Ovis aries: one gene and its partners. The protein of the gene in region 1 interacts with the protein of each later gene in a pairwise test. Links are inferred from orthologs where the notes say so. Each region holds a gene or a part of one and is shown in the gene's direction. Other genes may lie near its edges. The genes, in order: MAX, PLEKHF2, UNC45A, MXD3, MGA and MXI1.

Evidence for each region.
Region 2: the proteins of MAX (region 1) and PLEKHF2 interact in binary tests that used the Homo sapiens proteins (3 or more experiments, as listed by UniProt). The two-hybrid records come from large-scale screens. The link is inferred for Ovis aries from reciprocal best matches to the Homo sapiens genes MAX and PLEKHF2.
Region 3: the proteins of MAX (region 1) and UNC45A interact in binary tests that used the Homo sapiens proteins (3 or more experiments, as listed by UniProt). The two-hybrid records come from large-scale screens. The link is inferred for Ovis aries from reciprocal best matches to the Homo sapiens genes MAX and UNC45A.
Region 4: the proteins of MAX (region 1) and MXD3 interact in a two-hybrid assay, tested with the Homo sapiens proteins (4 studies listed by BioGRID). The link is inferred for Ovis aries from reciprocal best matches to the Homo sapiens genes MAX and MXD3.
Region 5: the proteins of MAX (region 1) and MGA interact in binary tests that used the Homo sapiens proteins (3 or more experiments, as listed by UniProt). The link is inferred for Ovis aries from reciprocal best matches to the Homo sapiens genes MAX and MGA.
Region 6: the proteins of MAX (region 1) and MXI1 interact in binary tests that used the Homo sapiens proteins (3 or more experiments, as listed by UniProt). The link is inferred for Ovis aries from reciprocal best matches to the Homo sapiens genes MAX and MXI1.

Annotation. Positions count from the first base shown.
Region 1 is NC_056060.1:75,286,682-75,290,181, reverse strand, and holds part of MAX (protein max), read left to right. Parts: intron 1-1,909; coding exon 1,910-2,017; intron 2,018-3,500. UniProt on the Homo sapiens protein: Transcription regulator. Forms a sequence-specific DNA-binding protein complex with MYC or MAD which recognizes the core sequence 5'-CAC[GA]TG-3'. The MYC:MAX complex is a transcriptional activator, whereas the MAD:MAX complex is a repressor.
Region 2 is NC_056062.1:82,115,588-82,119,798, reverse strand, and holds the start of PLEKHF2 (pleckstrin homology domain-containing family F member 2), read left to right. Parts: upstream 1-1,411; 5' UTR 1,412-1,683; intron 1,684-4,211. UniProt on the Homo sapiens protein: May play a role in early endosome fusion upstream of RAB5, hence regulating receptor trafficking and fluid-phase transport. Enhances cellular sensitivity to TNF-induced apoptosis.
Region 3 is NC_056071.1:21,027,041-21,029,565, reverse strand, and holds the end of UNC45A (protein unc-45 homolog A), read left to right. Parts: intron 1-847; coding exon 848-965; intron 966-1,069; coding exon 1,070-1,693; 3' UTR 1,694-2,025; downstream 2,026-2,525.
Region 4 is NC_056058.1:36,485,779-36,489,774, reverse strand, and holds the start of MXD3 (max dimerization protein 3), read left to right. Parts: upstream 1-1,196; 5' UTR 1,197-1,459; intron 1,460-1,578; exon of another isoform or gene 1,579-1,632; 5' UTR 1,633-1,659; coding exon 1,660-1,729; intron 1,730-1,992; coding exon 1,993-2,098; intron 2,099-2,754; coding exon 2,755-2,784; intron 2,785-2,914; coding exon 2,915-3,029; intron 3,030-3,996. UniProt on the Homo sapiens protein: Transcriptional repressor. Binds with MAX to form a sequence-specific DNA-binding protein complex which recognizes the core sequence 5'-CAC[GA]TG-3'.
Region 5 is NC_056060.1:35,312,770-35,316,269, forward strand, and holds part of MGA (MAX gene-associated protein), read left to right. Parts: intron 1-412; coding exon 413-1,355; intron 1,356-2,125; coding exon 2,126-2,204; intron 2,205-2,323; coding exon 2,324-2,419; intron 2,420-3,500. UniProt on the Homo sapiens protein: Functions as a dual-specificity transcription factor, regulating the expression of both MAX-network and T-box family target genes. Functions as a repressor or an activator.
Region 6 is NC_056075.1:30,309,547-30,313,475, forward strand, and holds the start of MXI1 (max-interacting protein 1), read left to right. Parts: upstream 1-1,129; 5' UTR 1,130-1,375; coding exon 1,376-1,637; intron 1,638-3,250; exon of another isoform or gene 3,251-3,929. UniProt on the Homo sapiens protein: Transcriptional repressor. MXI1 binds with MAX to form a sequence-specific DNA-binding protein complex which recognizes the core sequence 5'-CAC[GA]TG-3'. MXI1 thus antagonizes MYC transcriptional activity by competing for MAX.

The DNA of each region.
Region 1 (3,500 bases):
GACAGATAGATGCCAAATGCCATCTCTTAGCCCTCTGAAGTTTTTGGTCTAAGAACCAGCCCAGCTTAACTACCTTATCAATAGATGACTAGAGGGAATGGTAAGTTAGATAAAGGACTAGGTACTTAAATATGTTTAATTCCTTCAAGCTATTCAGATAGCTGACAGAAGGTACCTGCAATTTTCTTGCTCTAATGCCATGTGATACCTTCTAGCCTCAGGTGATCTGGTCATTCCCTCAGTTTCCCCGTAAATTCCACATTATCGCCGAAGTTCAGCAGACACTCATTTTTACAGAGAATCCAGATGTAAAATTAGGAGAGCTTTAGCTGTGTTCCAGGCATCTGCCCTAAAAACAAGCACTATGCCATGGAGAACCGTGGCTGTGATGGGAACCCTGTGTCCTGTTCGACAGAGCTGTAGGTGAGGTGTTGTGCTTGAGAGACCAGGAAGTGACTAAAATTACCGCAGCTGCTCCCAGCCTCTTTTTCCTCTGTCATGACTCAGACTTTTAGGATTAGATACTAGAATTTCAAGTCCTTTCATTCCCGTAAGTCTTTTCTTTATAGACTTTTATCTGAACATCTTGTCTAGTACAAAGATTCATTTGAGGCTTTCTTGTGCTAAGCCAATTTGTTCACTCCTGTCGCTTCATTTTTAAAATTGCGGGTTCTGTGTCTGGGTAGGTTAAAGCTACCTGAACTTCCTATGTCCAGACTTCCTCTTTAGGTTAGCTCAGTGCAGCCTCATGTATTGGGGGTAAATTCTCAGAGTACAGTATTTCCACTAAGTCCCGAAGTGTGGATGTGACGTTCCTGCTTTGGGTTAAGCCAGCATTTGTGCTCCATTGGAGGGACTGCCCCTGTAATGGGGATCTGCCGAAGCTCCCTGCTTTGGGTTAAGCCAGCATTTGTGCTCCATTGGAGGGACTGCCCCTGTAATGGGGATCTGCCGAAGCTCCCTGCAGTGTTCACCCGCACTGTCTTCCGTCTGAACCTAGTGTGTTTTGCCATCCCTGATTTGTTGGCTGTCTTTGCCCCTCTCAGCTGATTGTTCTTTGTGATTCTAAGCAGGACAGGATAAGGACTTTGGTCTGTGGGTATTTAGCTACTGCCAAATAAGCATGACATGCCACAGGTGCCTGAAGAAATTTATTCAGAGTATGTGAGTGTCAGAAGGTTTGCTGTCTAAGAACTACCTTTCTGGCAGCCTGTGAAGGGGAGGCCTTGGCAGAATAGCACTTGGATGCACTTGAAAAAAAAAAAAGGAGCTCAGAATGCAGTTGGCGTCTATATCAGCTTTGTCATGGTGATCTCAGATTCATGCATCTGGGTTTTCCAGAAGTTTTAGTTCCTCATATGTGATTTGGCAAGCAGGTCTTAAAACTAGTACCCTTTAGCAAGGTGGAGACCAGAGCAGACTCACGGTGATGTTTTCGCATGAAAGAAGTGCTGTGCCAGTGACCTGACTCCTTTCCTGGGTCCCCGCCAAGGGGAATCTCTTACAGTGGGGGTGATCACCTCTTATGAAGGGGCCCACTGCAGCTTTTCCCTGGCCACCTCCTAGCCGTGGGACTGGCAGCTGTTGTGTCACATAAGTAAGTTGTGGGAGAAAACTGATGTTCCAGGAGAGTCACACTTTGTCCCCGTGAATAACTTTTATTTCACTTATGCATGAGCTGGATGCATCGAGCTCCTTTGGATGTTCCTGTCGCAAGCCTTGCTCACCCCTTTCTCCCCCTTTAGCAGAGCCTAATTCTGGAGACTCCTAACTGCCCACCTCGACAAATCCTTCCCAGTCCAGTCACCTGGGACTGCGCTGACAACACATACTTCCAGGCTGTACCCGCTCAGCTGTGCCCAGCAGGAGGAGTGCCACTGCTAATGTGCTGTTTTTCCCATTCTTCCAGGCTGACAAACGGGCTCATCACAATGCACTGGAACGGAAACGCAGGGACCACATCAAAGACAGCTTTCACAGTTTGCGGGACTCGGTCCCCTCACTCCAAGGAGAGAAGGTGAGTTTATTGAGAAAGCTGAGGAGCCACCACTAGCTTAGAACGCGCTGTGGGGCTTAGCAGGGTGCTCACCTTTCCAGAAAGAAATGGAGTCTGGGATATTTGGGTGACATGGTTTCCTTCATCTTTGATTCTTCGGGGAGTCATCACACACCTTACTTATTCTCTAGTTCATCCTTAACAAACGATGTCAGATGTAATGGAGCTGCTTGTTAAGACATCAGTAGGAGCTATCTTTTAAAATTAATATTACATATAAAAAATTACTCATTCAAGAAATCATTACAACAAACATACAGTAGTTTGGGATAATGCTAAGGATTTCTGAGGTCAGTGATTCTGTGGACCTCCATGGAAATTCCTTTCGTATGGTTCAAAGTGGTACTCATTTTAAATGAAACCTCCCAGGAATGTATGTAAACCCATCTGGATATCAGTGATCTCCCAGTCTAAGAGTAGTTATTATTCCAAAGGCATATATAGAGAGAGCATTTTAAATGTGAACTTGAGTGAAGAGACCTGTTCACACAAAATGAAAGAGAAAAATAACCACTATTCTTCCCTCATCCCCCTACCCCATTGGTGGCCTTCCAGAAACTGTTTTCCCTGGAGAGGTAGGCACCAACTGTTTTTACGTCTGAAAAACAAAGTCCAAAGCTTTGACTAAAAAGCCTATAGGTTAGGGTCAGTCCTTGAAATTTGGAGAAGATATGTGTTTGCACAGTTAGTTCCATCCTTGACACACAATATAACTGGCTGCTGTCTGCAGCTGTTCAGTGGTGTAAGTGGCAAATTTGGAAGAGGACCTGTTTTTTTTATTTGTTTGTCTGTTTGGTTGTTTTGTTGGTTCAGTAATGCAGTGTTTCAAGAAGCAACCATGTTAAGAAAAACCACTGCTCTCAGGTGTGCTTTGGGCTGTCTAGATTTAGCTCTGAGGTAGGAGTTTTGGGTTTGTTTGGTTATCCAGAACTAAACCTGGGCCAGTGAAACTGGGTGCCCTGATGGTCTCATTCTGTTTATGCTGCCGCTCTGGTAAGCCATGTGCTGTGTGCCTAACCTAGGGTGTGATGGTCTCATTCTGTTTATGCTGCCGCTCTGGTAAGCCATGTGCTGTGTGCCTAATCTAGGGTGTGATGGTCTCATTCTGTTTATGCTGCCGCTCTGGTAAGCCATGTGCTGTGTGCCTAACCTAGGGTGTGATGGTCTCATTCTGTTTATGCTGCCGCTCTGGTAAGCCATGTGCTGTGTGCCTAACCTAGGGTGTGATGGTCTCATTCTGTTTATGCTGCCGCTCTGGTAAGCCATGTGCTGTGTGCCTAACCTAGGGTGTGATGGTCTCATTCTGTTTATGCTGCCGCTCTGGTAAGCCATGTGCTGTGTGCCTAACCTAGGGTGTGATGGTCTCATTCTGTTTATGCTGCGCTCTGGTAAGCCATGTGCTGTGTGCCTAACCTAGGGTGTGATGGTCTCATTCTGTTTATGC
Region 2 (4,211 bases), on another chromosome or scaffold:
ACTTTAGACTAGACCTTAGACAACTGATCTGACATAGCAATTCCTAATCTCAAACTTAAAGGAATCTTGGAGGTAAATCCATCCTTCTTTCCACTGACAGAGGCTGTTCTGTATGCAGAGGAGGAATGAGGCAAAATTAAGTTGGGGTATGGTGATGGTTGAAAGGAACATTTGTATTTGTCTACAGATAACTACAGCTAACACTTGTAAAGGTTTCTGTGATGGTGATTTCCTATTTTCCTATTTTAAAAATTCATCCTTGCCAGGTTTGTTTTAGCCACCAATTTTTTTAAAAAAATTTTGTTTCTGACATATTCAAACAGAACAGGATGGCAGGTGGAAGATCTGGGGAGGACAAATCCCAGACCAAAAGAAAGTTGGTTGGAAACAAGACCTGCTTTATGTTCCCTAGGTGGGTGCTCTTTCATGTGGCGTGGGTTCTGATGGCTACAATCAAAGGTAAAAAAAAAAGTTACTATTTCAAAGAAAAGAAAAAACAAAAAAAATGAAGAAAACATATAAAAGAAAAAGAGGTATTTTTTCAAAATCTTGTAATAGATCAGCGGGAAAGATAAAATTTACTCAAATCTAATTTCTGCCTATTCACTTTTTGTTTGAAGTGAATATGCAGTCTTCCTCACCCCTCACCAGGCCCACAGTCCTTATCTACCTTAGGCATCTTTTACGTCTCCACGGACCCACCAGCACACTTTGCTGCGGTATAAATGAAGGGGCACGTTCAACCTTATATACCATCATCACTGTTTCCAGGTGTGTGAAGTACGTTTGTGGTATCACAGAAAATTTGGGGAAAGACCAGAATTCTAAGTCAGGGAATAAACGCATCACTTAAAAGGCTGTGCGGAGTATGCGGGGTATGTTTTGCCGCCGTCGTTTCCTGTGTTTCAAGCGGTAGGATTTTTAGGGCAAGCAAGTGGAACACGTGAGGGGGCAGGATCGGGCGCGCTAAGAGGATGTAGCAAACACGTCTAGCCGGACGCCTTGGGCAGCTAAATCCAAAGCTTTCATTTCCCGGTCGCGGAAAGTTCCTGAATTCCCCGCAGAGGCCCGTTCGGGGTGAGAGGAAAGGGGCCCAGCCCTCCTTCCATTTTTATAGCGTCGTTAAGCACTTCCCTAGGAGGTGAACTGTCCTTTCAGAGGGCTCGCCTGCGCCAGGCAGCCCAGGTAAAAGACGTCGCACGTGTAGCCAATCCACGTCAGGGCGCGCGCCCTCAACTCCGAGCAGAGGAGCCAATCCCGAGCCCCAGCCTCCCAGGCGGGTGTGGCCTCCGCGTTGGCCCCGCCCCCTCGGGCCCGGCGCGCGGGACGGCCCGGGCGGGGCGAGAGAGCAGGCCAGAAAGGGTGGGGAGCGAGCGCTGGGGGTGTGATCGCGCCCGCGCCCGCGCCCGGCGTGTGGGTGGCGGCGCGCTTCTGCGCGCGCGCGCAGGGGAGAGGCCAGCCCCGGCGGCCGTTGTGGGCTTCGACTGGAGGGGCGGGAGGGTCACCTGCGAGCGTCTGCGACGCCCGCCCGCCCGCCCGCCGCGTCCGGATCGCGCCGGCTGCGCGGGGCCGCTGGCTGCACACCCTGCGAAGCTGGGGCGGGAGGCAAGGAGAGTCCGCGCGCGGCGCCCGGGAAGAGGAGAAGTCGGACCTTCGCCGCTGCGGCCGTCCGCGCCCGGCTGGGTAGGTGAACCCCGGGCTTGGTCGTCGGGCGGCCCCCCGGAGGGCCGGGAGAAGAGAAGCGAAACTTTCCCTGCGCTTCCCCGCCGCGGTCCCCGGGCCGTCGGCGGCGCGGGGAGGTGTCGTCGTCTCGGGCGGCGGCGGCGGCGGCGGCGGCGGCCGACGCCATGTTGGGGTCTGTGAGAAACGGGGCGCTCCCGGGCGGCTCCCCGCTCCCTAAGGGGCCGCGGCCGCCCGCCGGAGGGCTCGCGGGCCGCAGGGAGGGCCGCGCGGGTGGTTGTCCGGCCCGCGGGGAGGGGGACCCCGAGGTCCGGCGAGAAGTTGTGAGGGCGTGAAGACGGGTGTCCGTCGTCGCCACTGGCGTCTTGGGGTGCCAGCATCTTTCTGTCCAGAAAGTTTGAAGGGTCTGGGCATCAGAGACCTTGTAACTTGAGCAGCGTCTTTTTATGGGGTTTGAGGCAAAAAATTTAAAAAAAAATGGCACCGCACGATTTGCCCTGATAGAAGGGCTGAGTCTGACGCCTTACTTATTTGGAGTCTTTTAAAGTCGTATGCCAAAGTTTTTCTTTAACATATTTGTTGGGAGGCCGACAGCTTGCTGTTCATGCGACTTGAATACCCGGTGCGCTCTTACTACGTTGTAATAGTAACTTGGGAGTGTGCGGTGAAAAGAACGAGCAGTATGAAGGTTACAGACAACCAAGCTCTTCTCTGTAATTCATAGACTCGATTTGTTGATTTTTTAGTGCGTTACTGAAGAAATTCAGCTAAGAAAGCCAGGACCGTTCACTGAGAGAAAGGCATGTGTTGTTCCCTTAAGAATAAGGTGAAGTGATCTTGACATTGTGAAGTTTTCCCCCTCCGTTTGGTTCTATAAAGGTGCATGCCTACCGTGTTCTGAGCATTTACATTTTTCTGTACTCCGGTAGCTCATGGGGTCCTCGGGTTAATTCAGTATTAACGAAGGCTTCTGTTTTTAATCTCTTCGGGTCCTCCCAGCATTGGAGGTGAATGGTATTAAGTTACGTATTTGGAAAGCACATGTAATCGCCTCAAAAAATAAAACTGGTGCACTGACCAAGGCATCAAAAAAGATTCAGCTTGAATCAGCCCAGTAAATGAATGTCAATTACTAGTTTTAATAAAGGCATCTGGGCTTCCAAATTTCTGTTAATTGTATTGAGAGCATTCTTAATCACAAACAAGATAAATACTTCAACATGTCTTGGAGAATTTCTCTTCTTAATCTGTAGGTAAAAATAGAACTTCTGCTCAGATTTGATTGCTAATATTCTTAGTTTTTTTTTTTTTTTTCAAGTGTAAGGTGATTGCCATTATACATATGTTTTTCTGGATGAAAAGTTACCCAGAATAGAGGTGATTTAACTAATGTCACAAATCTAGCGAACAACTTGGTAGTTAACTGAGGTCTTATAACTGAAACCTTCTCATTTTTCTTAACTTTGCAGGATACTTAAATCATTCCCGTGGAGCAGTTTCTGTCCATTTTGTTTTCTCCGTCCTAGCTTCTCTTTCTGATTTTAATTTAGTTCCTTAGTGAGTGTGTGTGTATTTCCTAGGAATTTCCCTCATTTCCAAGGTTTTATGTACTGAGAGTTTTCCTCTTAAAAATACTCAGCCTATGCTCTTGAAAACTTTTTTGCACAGTTCTCCTTATCTCACTCCCTTTTCTCCCCAAGAATAAGTCACTTATCTATCCAGATGCATCCCAGTAAATATTACATTTTTCTGCCATGGCACTTCCTCAACAGAAAGCATTACATGAGCTCTGATTTGCCTCTTCATCCTCAGGGTGCTGAGAACATGATGCTCAGAAAAGGCTTGAATGGATGAATACACATACACTTTTTGTAAATATACTTCATGAATTTCTTTTTAAGTTGCATTTCTAAGAGTGAAAGTAGTTAGATCTTTTCTAATTGCCCCTCCCCCCCCGTCCTTTTTTTTTGAGATTTTACCTTAGTAACTCAACTAATTTTGGGCCAGGGGTACAGAACTTGAATGTTTATGAAATTTCCAAGTAGATATAATCAAAGAAGCAGCAGCAGTGGATCAGCAAAAAGATAGTAATCATACTTTTAAAGTGCAACTGTATTTAGTGTTTGCACTGGGTAGAAATAGTTAATGCCTTAAAATTTTGAAGATCATGTTTATACATTTAAGTTATTTGATGGAACACCCTAATTTCTCTTGTCACTTACTGTTTTGCTAGAATTGTCTTAGAATTTCGTTTTAGAACATCTTGCTTATTGGAAAACGTAAACATTGCTTTTCTATTTATGAATTTATCTTTGGAACCAGCTTTGTACACCAGCTGCGTGCTTAATAGCAAGGTGTATGTTGGCTTAAGTGAATAAAATGTACTCCGTAGATACACTCTCACAGTGCTATTTTAAATTGCAAACCCTCCCTAGGTGGTGGTCTGTAATTCTGTAATGAAATTACTGTAAAATTTGGGGTTAATTCCTTGTTCCCATAATTTTCTCTCCATTCAACCCATAAATCACAAA
Region 3 (2,525 bases), on another chromosome or scaffold:
GAGAGGGCAAGGACCTAGGCCGTAAGAGTGCAGGCCCTGGAGTCAGACCACCTGCTTTCAAATCCTGGCTTCACTGGTTATTAGTGTGTAACCTCTCAGGTAACTTAACCTCTCTGTGCCTTAGTTTCCCCCTCTGTGAAATGGAATGGTTGTATACCTATCGCATGGAGTAGCAGTGAGGATTAAATGAGAAAATACAGGTAAAAGCGTTGACTACCTGGATGCCTGACTCCTAGCAGTGTGTCCAAGCAGTACGTATCAGCTACGCCACTGACGGTGAGACGTCTCAGTCTTGGTCTCCTCTTCTGCAAAACAGGAGTGATAATCACACGAGCACCTTTACCATAGGGCTTTGGTGAGGGTTTTTTAAAATACATTCATTATTTGGCTGCACCAGGTCGTAGTTGCAGCATGCAGGATCTTAAGTTGTGGCATGTGAGGTCCAGTTCCCTGACCAGGGATGGAGCCTGGACCTCCTGCATTGGGAGCATGGAGTCTTGGCCACTGAACTGCCAGGGAAATCCCTGTGGTGAGGATTAAGTAAGATCGTCCAAGTGCTGGGTCAGGGTGAGTGCTCAGACGTTAGATGTTAGCATCGCCATCATCACCCCCAGGTCTCCTAACTCCTAGTTGAGAGTGTTTTCCAAGGTCCCGCATGCTGTCTCCTTGGCCGGGTTAGAAGGCTGGAAACCACTGCCTGGTGGCTTCAAACCTGCGCAGGGCGGTCTCTGCATGTTGCCCAGGGAAATCCTTGGCCCAAGGCTTGTTGTAGGTATGGGGAAATGGGACAGGGAGTGACAGATGCTAACACTCTGGTGATGCTGATGCTTCCGCCCCGGCCCCACAGGCAGAAGATCCTGAAGGAGAAGGCCGTGCCCATGATCGAGGGCTACATGTTTGAGGAGCACGAAATGCTCCGCCGGGCGGCCACAGAGTGCATGTGTAACTTGGCCATGAGCAAAGAGGTGAGGGCTGGTCCAGGCGGTCACTCCAGGCAGGCATGCAGGAGTACCCGGCCCAGCTGGGCTCTGCCCCATCTGACTTGGTCCCTCCCCGCTTCTGGCCGCAGGTGCAGGACCTCTTTGAAGCCACGGGCAACGACCGGCTGAAGCTGCTGGTGCTGTACAGCGGCGAGGAAGACGAGCTGCTGCGGCGGGCGGCCGCCGGGGGCCTGGCTATGCTCACCTCCATGCGGCCCTCGCTCTGCAGCCGCATCCCCCAAGTGGTCAGTGCCTCTTCTTGGTGGAGCTGGGGGAGGTGGGCCAGGATCCCCCAGCCTGCTGGCGGTTGGTTGGTGGGAGGCAGCCCCAGGGTGTGCAGGTGGTGTTCGCTGCCGGGTTCCCTGCTGCGCCGGGGTTCCCTGCTGCTCCGTGGTCACACTGCCCTGTTTCCGGCAGACCACACACTGGCTGGAGATCCTGCAGGCTCTGCTTCTGAGCCCCAGCCAGGAGTTGCAGCACCGGGGTGCTGTGGTGGTGCTGAACATGGTGGAGGCCTCGAGGGAGATCGCCAGCACCCTGATGGAGAGCGAGGTGCTGGAGATCCTGTCGGTGCTGGCCAAGGACAAGGAGAGCCCAGTCACCAGGGCAGCCACAGCTTGTCTGGGGAAAGCAGTGGCATATGGGCTTATCAAACCCAGCCAGGACGGAAAGTGAGGGCCTGCCTCTCGCACACGCTACCCATCGCAGCATAAGGAGCAAGGACAGACCGGCTGGTGGGGGCTGGGATGCAAACACCTGGCCTCTGCTCCACAGCTGCCCTTTGATGTCCTCTGTTCTGAGTCAGGGAGCATATTCACAGCCCTGCACTCCCAGCACAGCCTCTGGCCTCCGGCCACACGCAGCAGGGCACTTTCTCCTGTACTACTAAGACAGCTGGGAATGAGGACAGCATGTCCTAATTCAGCCTGTGGGTTCCTGGCTTTGGGAAGGACACAGCAAGCAGCCTCACCAGCTATGAGCATCACCCGAACATGCTAGCAGGACCACTTCTGATCCTCTAATAAAAGCTTGTGGAGGGGTTTCATTGTTGTCCAGTGGTTAAGACTTTGTGTTTCCAACGCAGGGGCTGCAGGTTCGATCCCTGGTCAGAGAACTAAGGTCCCATGTGCCAGTGTGGGCAAAAAAATGAAAGTATGTGGTACTCAAGTAGGTGCTCTGTCAGCGGGCAGGGATGGCTGGCAGTGGGCCAGAGTATGGAGCAGGTGCTGGGCATGATTGAGTAGTGTGGGTAGCTTTACAGCAACACAGCCACCTTTAGGGAAGGGATCAAATGGATTCCCACCCCAGGTCCACTGAGTTGCTCATCCCTGTTAGAAGGCCAAAGGGTAAACATTGGGGAGCAAATCAGTATTTAGTTACATGGATATAAATGCATTCAGTTCAGTCGCTCAGTCTTGTCCAACTCTTTGTGATCCCATGGACTGCAGCACACCAGGCCTCCCTGTCCATCACCAACTCCCGGAGTTTACTCAAACTCATGTCCATCTGTTGCCCTTCTCCTCCAATCTTTCCCAGTGAGTCAGT
Region 4 (3,996 bases), on another chromosome or scaffold:
ACATGGAGAAGGCAATGGCACCCCACTCCAGTGCTCTTGCCTGGAAAATCCCAAGGACGGAGGAGCCTGGAAGGCTGAAGTCCACGGGGTCGCTGAGGGTCGGACTCGACTGAGCGACTTCACTTTCACTTTTCACTTTCATGCATTGGGGAAGGAAATGCAACCCACTCCAGTGTTCTTGCCTGGGGAATCCTGGGGACGGGGGAGCCTGGTGGGCTGCCGTCTGTGGGGTCGCACGGAATCGGACACGACTGAAGTGACTTAGCAGCAAGGCAACCATGGGCTCTGTGGGAGGAAGAAGCCTGTGTCAGGTTACAAAATCAGCAGCTCCTACAAACTGCGCACGGCTCTGATCCTTCAATGCCCAGGTCTTCGATGACAACGGTTTCGCAGGGCTTCCCTAACTTACAGGAAGGAGGGCACTTCCCGAGCCACACAGCTGAGAAGCAGCGGTGAGAGAACTCAACTCTGATGACTGCAGAACCCAGGACTCTAGCCAGCTGGTTCTCATAAATCGGTACCCTTCTGACGTTTTCGTAGCAACAACAGCTTCCCGGCAGATGAGAAGCCGGGAGACTATTCCCATTCGCCACAGTAGGAAGCTGAAGATCAGCGAGGAGCTACGGGGGCAGAGGCGAAGCCTGCAAGGATAATAACCCCCCAGCTCCGGAGCCCGGAGAAGGCACTGGCACCCCAGTCCAGTACTCTTGCCTGGAAAATCCCATGGACGGAGGAGCCTGGTAGGCTGCAGTCCGTGGGGTCGCTAAGAGTCGGACACGACTGAGTGACTTCCCTTTCACTTTCCAGTTTCACGCACTGGAGAAGGAAATGCCAACCCACTCCAGTACTCTTGCCTGGAGAATCCCAGGGACGGAGGAGCCTGATGGGCTGCCGTCTACGGGGTCGCACAGAGTCGGACACCATTGAAGCGATTTAGTAGCAGCAGCAGCTTGGGAGCCAGATCCGCGCTCTGGCCCCCGGCGCTTGCGCATTGCGGCCCCATTCCCTGCTTAACCCCGCCCCCATCGCCGGGGTTTTCAAATTTGAAACCTGCTCCTTTTCCCGCCCGAACATGTTGACCAGCGGCGGGAGAGGGCGGAGCCGCACGCAGCCAATAGTGCCTCCGAGGCCTTCCTGCTCCTCCCATAAGGTGACGTCAGCGAGCCACAAGCGGCGGAGAGCAAATGGGCGAGGGCGTCCGCCGGCCCCGCCTCCGAGGCGCCCACGTGCAGCGGCCAAGCCCCGGGCCTCGGGTGGGCCACCGGCCCCCAGGGCACCATTCAGCGTGCGGGCATCTAGTCACCAGTACTGTGCTGGAGACTGAGGCCCAGAAACGCCAAGTGATCGGCGCGGGGTCGCTGAGCGAAGCGGCAAGACGCGGCACCCCCACTCCAGCCCGGGCGTTCGCCCGAGGGCCAGGCCTGGTGGAAGCCCTACGGGAGTCCTAGGGGGCGGGCAGGTGGGCGGAGGGTGGGCTGCGGTTCAAGGGCGCGTTCCAGAAGGGCGGGGCCAAGAGCTAGGCTGTCCCGGGGCGGGGCGTCTTGGGGGCGGGCCGGGCGCCTGTGTTTGTTGCCCCGTGTCAGTTACATTGTAACAAAAGTGGTGTAGCCGCTGCTCCGGTCTGCACCACAGGCCCTCCCGCCTCCGGCTGTCGCCGACATGGAACCGGTGGCCAGCAACATCCAAGTCTTGCTGCAGGCGGCGGAGTTCCTGGAGCGCCGCGAGAGAGGTGAGGAAGAACCTTTGGTCGGACTCCAGGCGGCGACCTCGCTGACACTGGCCTGGGCTGGGCTTGACTCCAGACTTGAAGAATGCATGGCTTTAGGGCAGTAGTCTTGCGGCACCGCTGCGCTCAACTTAAGAGGGGTCCGCGGGCAGTGGGCTGGAGGGGTTGGGGAAATGGCCCTGTAGCCCAAAATCCCTTTCTGACGGTGCCGTGCATGGGGCGCCCGCTGGGACTAGCCTGACGCTGGCGGGGACTCTCTCTGGCAGAGGCCGAGCATGGCTATGCGTCCCTGTGCCCTCACCGGAGTCCAGGTCCAGTCCACAGGAGGAGGAAGCGGTCTCCCCAAGCTCCTGGCGCGCTGGACAGTGGGCGGTGAGGAGGGCCGGGGGCAGCGGGGAGTAGGGGGATGGGCGCCGTCCTTCATCGGGTCTCTCCACTGCCCGCTTCCTTCTTGTTGCTTGCATCTTCTGGGCCAAGTACCTTGCTCTGGAGGCATACAGACTCCTGCCGTTTCCCCATCCTCCGAACACACACTTCGTTCAAGGACTATTTCTCAAGCACCTCTGATGTGTTTGGAACTGTGAATAATAGTTCTGGGTCCTGCTTCCACTCACACTCCTAAAAGAAACCACTTGCTTTCCTTCACAGGCATTCTCCTTTTCTCTCCTCTCAACCCTTTGCACACCCATTACCCCTCAATTTGAATGCCTCTCCCCCCACTACTCATTTTGGGTAACTTGTGTGGCTGGGCTTAACTCAAATGTCACTTGTGTTCAGGAAGCCCTTCCTGATTGTGGCTAGGGGACTCTGTTTGGACCCCACATCACCTGGGCAGACCTCCCTCAGCATTTGACCTCCTTACTGCCTCTGCCTCTGCCTCGGACTCAGCTGTCTGAGGCCAGCGCAAGGTCCCCACAGTGGGCTAGTTTGGGGCACACATCTGTAGTGAATTTTGAGCCCCTGGGAACTCTGAGACTGAGGGTGTGGACACTGACACCCCCTCACCCCATCCTCTCTGGCATTGGCAGATCTGTGCACAACGAGCTGGAGAAGCGCAGGTGAGTCCCCACCCTGCCCTGAGAGCACCAGTCCCCAGGAACAGCCTCCCTCTGGCCTTCCCTCCCCTGCCATCCCTCATCGGCCAATGAGCCTGGGCTGGCACTGCCCTCTAGACCCCTCCCTCTGCAGGAGGGCCCAGCTGAAGCGATGCCTGGAGCAGCTGAAGCAGCAGATGCCCCTGGGGGCTGACTGTGTCCGATACACCACACTGAGCCTTCTGCGCAGGGCTAGAATGCACATCCAGGTAAGACACTACCCTGGGGCCCAGGGCCAGCTTGCCAGGATGCTGGGAGAAGCGTAATAGGGAGAGACTGGGAGGAACTAGGAGCGAAGTCGTGACGTTGGGCTCTGTGCTTTTAGTTTCCAAGTTTAAGTAGGAAGAAAAGCAGGAAGTAACCCAAGAGGATTGTTCTGAGGCTTTAAGCAAGTTTTCCCAATAAATGTTCACTTGTTATTACAATTATTACTTGAATCCCAACTGTGAAACCTGGAGCAAGTTAGGTAGCCTCTCTGGACTTCATTTCCTCCTCTGTATGGGGGACATTCTGTGATGGGTCACTATAAGGATCCCTCAGTCTGGAGAGGGCTGTTTCTCACTCCTCCTCTCCTGCATCCTCAAGGCCTCCTGTTCTGAGGGGCCTGTCCTGCTTTGGGAGGCAGGTCCAGAGGCCAGAAGGGGGAAAAGGGCTGAGAGGACGCCAGTGACCTTTCCTTCCCGGGCTCAGCTCAGCGCCCCCTGGTGGATGGGAGTGGGATGGGCTGACTCAAGACGAGGCATCACCACGGAGTGGGGGCGCTTAGAAGCGACTTGGAAACAGTGGAGGCCTTTTCCTGCCCTCCTGGCTCTTTTGACAGAGGAAGAAATGGAAGCACAGCGGGCTGATGAGAGGCAGATTCAGAACTGAGGCCTGTGTCTCTTGACTTGGATTCCTTTGCAACAAGTGCGCATGTGCTCTGCCTGGCCCTGTTGTGGGCACAGGCAGCTGTGGCAGAGAAGGCTGGAGGTGCCACGCAGCAAATAAAATGGTGTGGAAACTGTTAGCACTGTACTCATGGTGCCTTATGGTTGAATAACACCCTGGTTGGAAAGTGGGCTCCGGTGTCTCACGTGGAGTTTGGCTGACCTGGTTCTCAGAGGGATGTGTGTCTTGGGTGCTGGCTGTCCCATGGGCGGGACCTAGGGATTGCTCCTTCTGGACTCCCTGCTTCCT
Region 5 (3,500 bases), about 40 Mb from region 1:
GTATCAGTGCCAGCTAACTTTCAAAATTGAATTCATTTGAAGAGTAGTTAGGTTTGATCTTAGCCAAAAGGCTGAGAAGCGATGAAGAATACTATTAGAAAAATAACTGTTACAACATATCTTGCTTTTTGATTTAGTCATGAGAGTTACTTGTTAAAACTTTACCCTTTGTTTTATAAATTTTTCATGAGAAATTGATGGAATATGTAAAAGTGTGATGTTGGTAAACCATTGAGAAGCTTGTTATGTTATACAGAGTGCTGTTGTTTTTTTTTTTTTTTTAATGAATGGCTCTTGAAATCTGATGTGATTTTACTTGGTTTTCAACAATCTCTTTTTCTACCTTTCCCTTCTTGAGTCTTATTTATGGATAATTCTGTCCTTTTTAACCCTCCCTACCCTCTCTCTCCAGCCTTGGCAACAGTTTTGAAGATGGCTCCCATGTAACGTCACCATTAAGCCCAAATGAAAACTTCAATGTTGTCATTAAAGAAGAGCCTTTGGATGATTATGAATATGAACTTGGTGAGTGCCCAGAAGGGGTCACTGTGAAACAGGAAGAGACAGATGAGGAAACAGATGTATACTCAAACAGTGATGATGATCCTATACTAGAGAAACAGTTGAAAAGGCACAATAAAGCTGATAACCTAGAAGCTGACCATCCATCTTCTAAATGGCAACCAAATAGCCCATCAGGTGTTGCTAAAGCGAAAATGTTCAAATTAGATGCTGGAAAGATGCCAGTAGTCTATCTGGAGCCCTGTGCTGTCACCAAAAGCACAGTGAAGGTTTCTGAGCTCCCTGACAACATGCTTTGCACATCTCGGAAGGATAGATCTTCTCTGTTGACAGAATTAGACTATTTGCCTGCGTACATTGAAAATTCTAATGAGACTGGCTTCTGCTTAGGCAGAGAATCAGAAAATGATCTTGGAAGACATTCACCAGATATCAGAGTAGTACAAAAATATCCCTCACTTAAAGAAGCTCAGTGGAAATACCCTGATATATCTGACATTGTTAACACAGAAAAACTACTTGATGGTTCAAAGAGTTCAGTTGAGGACTCGTTTTTAGGAAAAGAGGACTTGGGCAGAAAGAAAACTATGCTTAAGATTTCAGCGGCTCCTAGGACTGTGAATGCTAATCAGAATGCCCCTCCAAATGTCCCTGGAAAAAGAGGAAGGCCACGAAAACTGAAACTGTCTAAGGCAGGGCGGCCGCCTAAAAACACAGGAAGATCTTTAACTTCTACGAAGAACACTCCTACAGGCCCTGGGAGTACCTTTCCAGATGTGAAACCTGACCTGGAAGATGTAGATGGTGTTCTCTTTGTTTCCTTTGAATCAAAGGTAAGATTGTCATTTTCAGCTTTCTTTCTAAGGCCAAATAATCACCATTGAATTGTATACTAGCTGCTAGTTATCTTAGAATGTAGTTACTGTGAATGCATCCATTATATGAGGTTGTGTGCATGGGAAGGGGAGTATCTGAAATATTGGGTTAGCAGTATTAATCCAACGCTTCAACTAGATTATTTTTCTTTTAGATTTTTAGAGAAACCTAGTCTTTGTAAATTGACTACACAGAGGTTGAATTCTCTCTGCCTGTTCTTTTCCTCCCTCTTTGTTAATTGCTGAGTAATCTATCTTAATTAAACAGGGGCTTCCCAGGTGGAGATAGTGGTAAAGAACCTATCTGCCGATGCAGGAGACATAAGAGACGTAGGTTCGATCCTTTGGTTGGGAAGATCCTCTGGAGGAGGTCATGGCAACTCATTCCAGTGTTCTTGCCTGGAGAATCCCATGGACAGAGGAACCTGGCAGGCTACAGCCATGGGGTCACAAAGAGTCGGACACAGTTGGAGCAATTTAGCATGCACGCAGAAGAAATCAGTATACAAATTGCAATAAATGGGCATAAATACAGTTCTAAGTCAGGTAGCTGAGTGTATTATATTTAAATTTTTTGCTTTCTCCCCACTATTAAAGTGATGTTAATCTAGAACATTTAGAAAATAGTGAAAAGTATCAACATGGAAAAAATGCCCCTGGTTTACTTTTAAATCCTTAGAACTGACATGAACCACTTTTTTTCTTTCCTTTTTTCTTTTTAAATACAGGAAGCTCTAGATATTCATGCAGTTGATGGAACAAGTGAAGAATCTTGTAGTCTTCAGGCATCAGCTGCAAATGACCCAGGTATTATATAATAGTAAAAAAAAAAGAGAGATGGAGGATTTGGTTCTAGAAGTGAAAGAAGCAATGTGTAGTCTGCTGTAGTATATAGCAGCTTATTTTTATCATTGTTTTCTGAGTAGGTTGCAGAGCAAGAATTTCCCAGTTGGAAAAGGAACTGATAGAAGATTTGAAGGCCTTGCGGCACAAGCAGGTCATACATCCTGGTCTTCAAGAAGGTATAATTCTCTGAAAACTATGCAAGCCTTGTTTTTTTTTGTTGTTGTTGTTCTTTTTTCTTCTTGCCCTCTCTTTTTTCTCTCTTCCCTTTGTTCCTTCCCCAAATCTTTTCTGTTTTCCTCCTTTCCCCTTTCTTTTGATTTAATTTATTTTAGCCCTTCTCTCAGCTTGCATTTTTTTTTTTGTTCTCTCTGTTCATGATTCTTTCCCTTAACTAAAAAGCATGCCTAGGTCTTTTGTATCCTAAGAGAAACCTTTTCAGACTCAGAGGATATTGTTCTATCATTGGTGAAGCATAATATATTATGCATTAACAATGTATCATGGTAAGAAAGTGGTGTTTTTCTTTCTTATAAAGCAATTTTGGTTGCTTTTGTTTCTGGGGTTTTTTGAAGGTTCCTTTGTTTTGTTTTTGGAGGGGAAGCCCTACTTTTTTTATGTACTTGGTAATATATTTAGCTGTGTAAAGAGAATACTTATTTCTTATACGTGACTGTAAACATTTTATATATTTCTTATATTGCTTGGAGTGTAGTTTAAAATTTTCATCATTACCTATTTTGTTGAAATAATTTATCTTGGCCCTGCTTAAATGGTTTAATCCTTTTTTAAAGAATAGCACAATTTACCATACCTATGCCATTATAATTAACTACTGACTTTCCTCCCTGTTTGCACTGTAAACAGAAGGACTGTAAACCATGCCTCAACTTTTAATTTTCTCATATCTTTTAGGTATGCTTCTTGGAGTAGTTTGAGTTTTGACAGTCAATTTTCAAAGGACTGTCTAGGCTGATTCACATTGTATAGTACATCATTTATATGAAAGTCTAAGCATTATATACCAGCAGAGCATTGATTTGTAAACAGCCATTCAGTTTCTAAATTCAGTGGTAATGTTTGAACTTTTTGATTTAATGTGAGACTGTGTGACAGTATGGTGTTAAAGTATGTAAATTTCAATCCAAGTAATTAGGACTGGATACTGTGGATTGTAATGGAAAATCAATCATGTCATATTAGTCTTGCTGGTAATAATGTTTGCTGTCCTTTATTGTTTGGTTTCATTTCTGCTATTTT
Region 6 (3,929 bases), on another chromosome or scaffold:
ATATTTAGATAGGCTTATTGCACAGATGTTTTTCAACAAAGTGCAGGAGAGTCTTGTTTCCTATAACTTATTTCTCCTTTTAGCTGCCAAGTAGGGGACTCAGGTTCTTATCTGGGTCTGTATTGGAAGAAAAAGATCATACTATGAGCATGCTGACTGCAGATATAATTTAATCAACTCATGAATCTTATCAGAGGTTTCATGGATGGGGAAACAGGCTGAGAGAGGTTAGGGGACTTGCCCAGGCACACTCACAGTCCAGTCTGTGTGCAGCAGAGCTGGGGCTTGAATGCCTCTCTATGGCATTCCCCAACGGCCCTGACTGCCACCACACTTCCCAGGCCTGGAAAGCATCCATGGTTCCTGCAGACCCTGAATGGTCTGCACTGGCAATGGAACAGTGTCGCCTAGGGTAGGGGTCTTCAGAACCAAAAGGTGGAATTCAGCCACGGTAGGGGTGGGAAGTTCCTGGGCTGCCACGTCCGCCTTTCTGCCAAATAAAATAAAAGAGAGCCAGGTGTGGAGGCTCCCTACTGTGAGCTTTGCACAGCTGGACTAAGGCTGGGAAGAGGAGTGTGGGGAGAGACGCTTCCATCTCCTCCCCCTTCCTGGAAAATAACTCTGCATTTGAAGGGAGAAAGAAAGAGTGAGTAAATTTGTAACTGGGATTTGGTGGCCTGGGGATTTCATTTGGCCCTGTGAAGGCAGATTTCTGTGCCTCTGTGTGTGTGCGTGTGCGTGTACGTGTGTGTGTGTGTGTGTATGTAGGAGTGTGTCTATTGAGGGGAGAGAACTTGAGGTAACGTGTATGATTTTTTTGGACTGGACTTTTATTTTTTAAGTCATAGCAGCTACCGTTGGAATCTAGTATGTGGTGCCAGGCATTGGTATTATTTTCACGTGAAGTAAAAGAACAACAGTTTAATAGTTTGTTTTTCTGTGGGTACGCTCCGAGCCCTCGAGTATTTTTTCCATTTGGGTTTAAATACTACGCTCTACAATGTGATAAGATTGGGGAGAGGCGGGGTAGTATGCCAGGACTGGCAGGGGGCGGTCCCTGCCTCGCTTGTCTCCGCCTTTCATTTTGACCAGTCCGATGGCGACAGGCTCGCACTAGGACCCAGGCGCCAGAGCGCCTCCGTCTGTCCTGTAGGTTCATTCAATCTCCCATACACACAGACCCACAGCGAGACCGACACACACTCACACACACTCAAACACACAACAGCACGCAGCGAGGCTCGGGAAGTCAGGTCGCCTTCTTGCCTCGGCGCCTTCTTCGCTCCAGCCAGCCGGCTTTCCCCCGGGGCCCGGAGCTTGGCCGGGCCGCGCAGCCCCGAAAGAGGACGAGCTCGGCGGACCCCGCGGTCCCTCCATGGGCAAACGCGGGCGGCCGCGCAAGGAGGCGCGCTGCGAGGGCGCGGGGCTGGCCCCCGCCGCGCCCCCGGCCGTGACCGCGCCCCAGCCCCCGGCCCAGCCGGAGGAGCCCGCGGGGGCCAAGCTCAGGTGCCCCTTCTCGGACATTTTCAACACCAGCGAGAACTCGATGGAGAAGCACATCAACACTTTTCTGCAGAACGTGCAGATTCTGCTCGAGGCCGCCAGCTACCTGGAGCAGATCGAGAAAGAAAACAAAAGTAAGTTTGGGGGCCCTGGCTCCTCTTCGGCGCCGGGCTCTTTCTTCCTCGCCCACTTGGGCGACCCCTGACGCCTGCTTAGCCCCCCTCTCCCCAACACACTCACATCTAGCCCTCGGCAGTAAAGCCGATGACACCGGAGAAAGGACACGCACGCACAAAGCTGCTAAAGATGTAACAAAGACGAGCAGGGGGTAGGCGGGGGGGTGGGGGGGGGGGGGGGGGGTGCTGTCGGTGCGTCAGTCTGTCCGTCTCCGGGAGGGTGGGAGAACCGCTGGGCCGAGGAGCGGGGGAGTGTTGTTGTTTGCTGACAACTGAGCCGAGAGCTCATCTCTTCGAGGTCGCGTTTCTTACTTTTTTTTTTTTTTTCCTCTCTCCTTTTTTTTTTTTCCCCCGGAGCCTTCTCGGGCAGACAAGTGTTGTTTTTCCGTCGCTCGTTCCTGGGTGGGGTGGGGATTACAAGACGAAAGTTGGAAACTGTAGGCAGAGCTCGGCGGTTCCAGAAAGAAAACACATAGACACACGACAACGATAACAACAAGCAAACAGCCCTCCACGGCGTGGGCTCCGGCTGGCTCGGCTCTGCTTCTTCCTCCTGTCTACTTTGCCTTTTCCTCTCTTCTCGCTGCAAGGCTGGGCTCAGGCCATCGCGTCCACGGAGACAGTGCCCCTGCGCCTCTGCTGCCCTAGGTGCCCCTGCCCCCGACTCCCCCCACCCCCAAAGAAACAGGCCGGCAAAACCAAGCACCGCCAGCAGCTCGCCCGGGACCCGCGGTGCTGCGCCCGGGAAACTTGGCGAGGGGGACTCAGCGAGAAGGAAACTTTGGGATCTCGCAGGAAACAATAGTTGTGGAAGAAGGTGTGGGCTGTTATGTGCTGTTTCTTTATTTTCCGGGATACGGCTCCCGAGTGAGCGCGCTGGGCGAGGAAGGCAGATGCCTTCCTGGTGGCTTTCTACTGCTCCCCCAACCCCCACCCCAGATTCAGGTGGAGAGAGATGGTTGCGGGCGGGGGTGGGGGGGGCGGGCTGGGAGCCCCACCCCGGCCTGGCCTCCTTTTTCATATTTGTTTGTTTCATTTTTGCCTGGGTCCCCCAATCCTCCCCACGCCGTCGCCTCAGCGCCCTAACGGGGGCACGCGAGTGCGGCGTCTCCAGCACGGTTCTCACAAATAATAGCTGCGAGGAGGAAGGGGCCGAGGCGGACAGGCCACAGACTAGAGAAAAGCTAGCTGTTTAATCTGTCCGAGCAAGTAGGAAGATCAATGAGATGAGAGAAAAAGAGGGGGGGGGGGTGAGAGAAAGAAAGGGAGAAAAATGGTCCGATTGCAACGTGTCAAGTCTTGCAACCTAACCCCCCCAAACACAACAACAACCCTCAAACACAAAAACACCCTAGATGACCGACACCCCAGGCCTTCGGGGTTAAAGTAACCGCGTGATGGCAGCGAAATCGTGCAGTAGCTTAAGGCAAAAACAAGGATTTGTGTTGGGAGGTTGGTGGTGCGTTCTTTTCTTTTCTTCTGTCCCTGTTTTCTCGGGGTGCCTGGGTTACGAGAAAGGCGCATCGCCGGCGGTTGCAGCCGAATCAGTTTGCGATTATTCCGGGTGTCGGGTGGGGGGCAGTATGCCTTCGCCTGTAGGGTCAGAGCTGGTGGGGAGGTGGGTGAAGACATGGTTTTGTTTGGTGTGTTTGCTTTTGTTGGAGGGGGAGGGGCGTGATTTCTTACTCTAACCACCCCCCCCCGCCCGGGTCCCCCATTCCCCCGAGTCTGTCCCGTGGCGCCGGCTTTGGCGGGGGGGTGCACCCAAAAAGGGCACCTTGGCAGTGAGTGGCAAACCTGGTTTGCCCCCGCCCGGTCCCCTCTACAGAGGGGTGTACGAGAAGCTGCTGGAGCTTCCTCCGCGTCCCGCGTCCCCCGCCCCTCGCACTCGCAGACAATCGGAGACCTCTGTTCCCCACCTCGCCGCCCCCACCCTCGCTCCCCGACCGCCTCGGCCGCCGCCACCTCCTTGTTTACCCGGTGCCGGGGCTCCGGCGTGGCCACCAGTCACGTAAGCAAAGGGCCGGGCGCGCCGGGCCGGACTGCCCCGCACGGGGCGGGCCAGAGGTAGTGGAGCCGGGCTCCGGGGACCGTGCAAGCCAAGGGGCTTCCTCCCGGTCCCCTTACGGAGGCATCCGCGCTGCCACCCCCCGAGAGGGGCTTGGGAACCTGGGCGCCCTCAACTTCGAGTGCATAATCAGCCCCTCGGCCCGGTTGCCCTCCTCCTCCGGCCGGCTCCCCGCTGGAGTA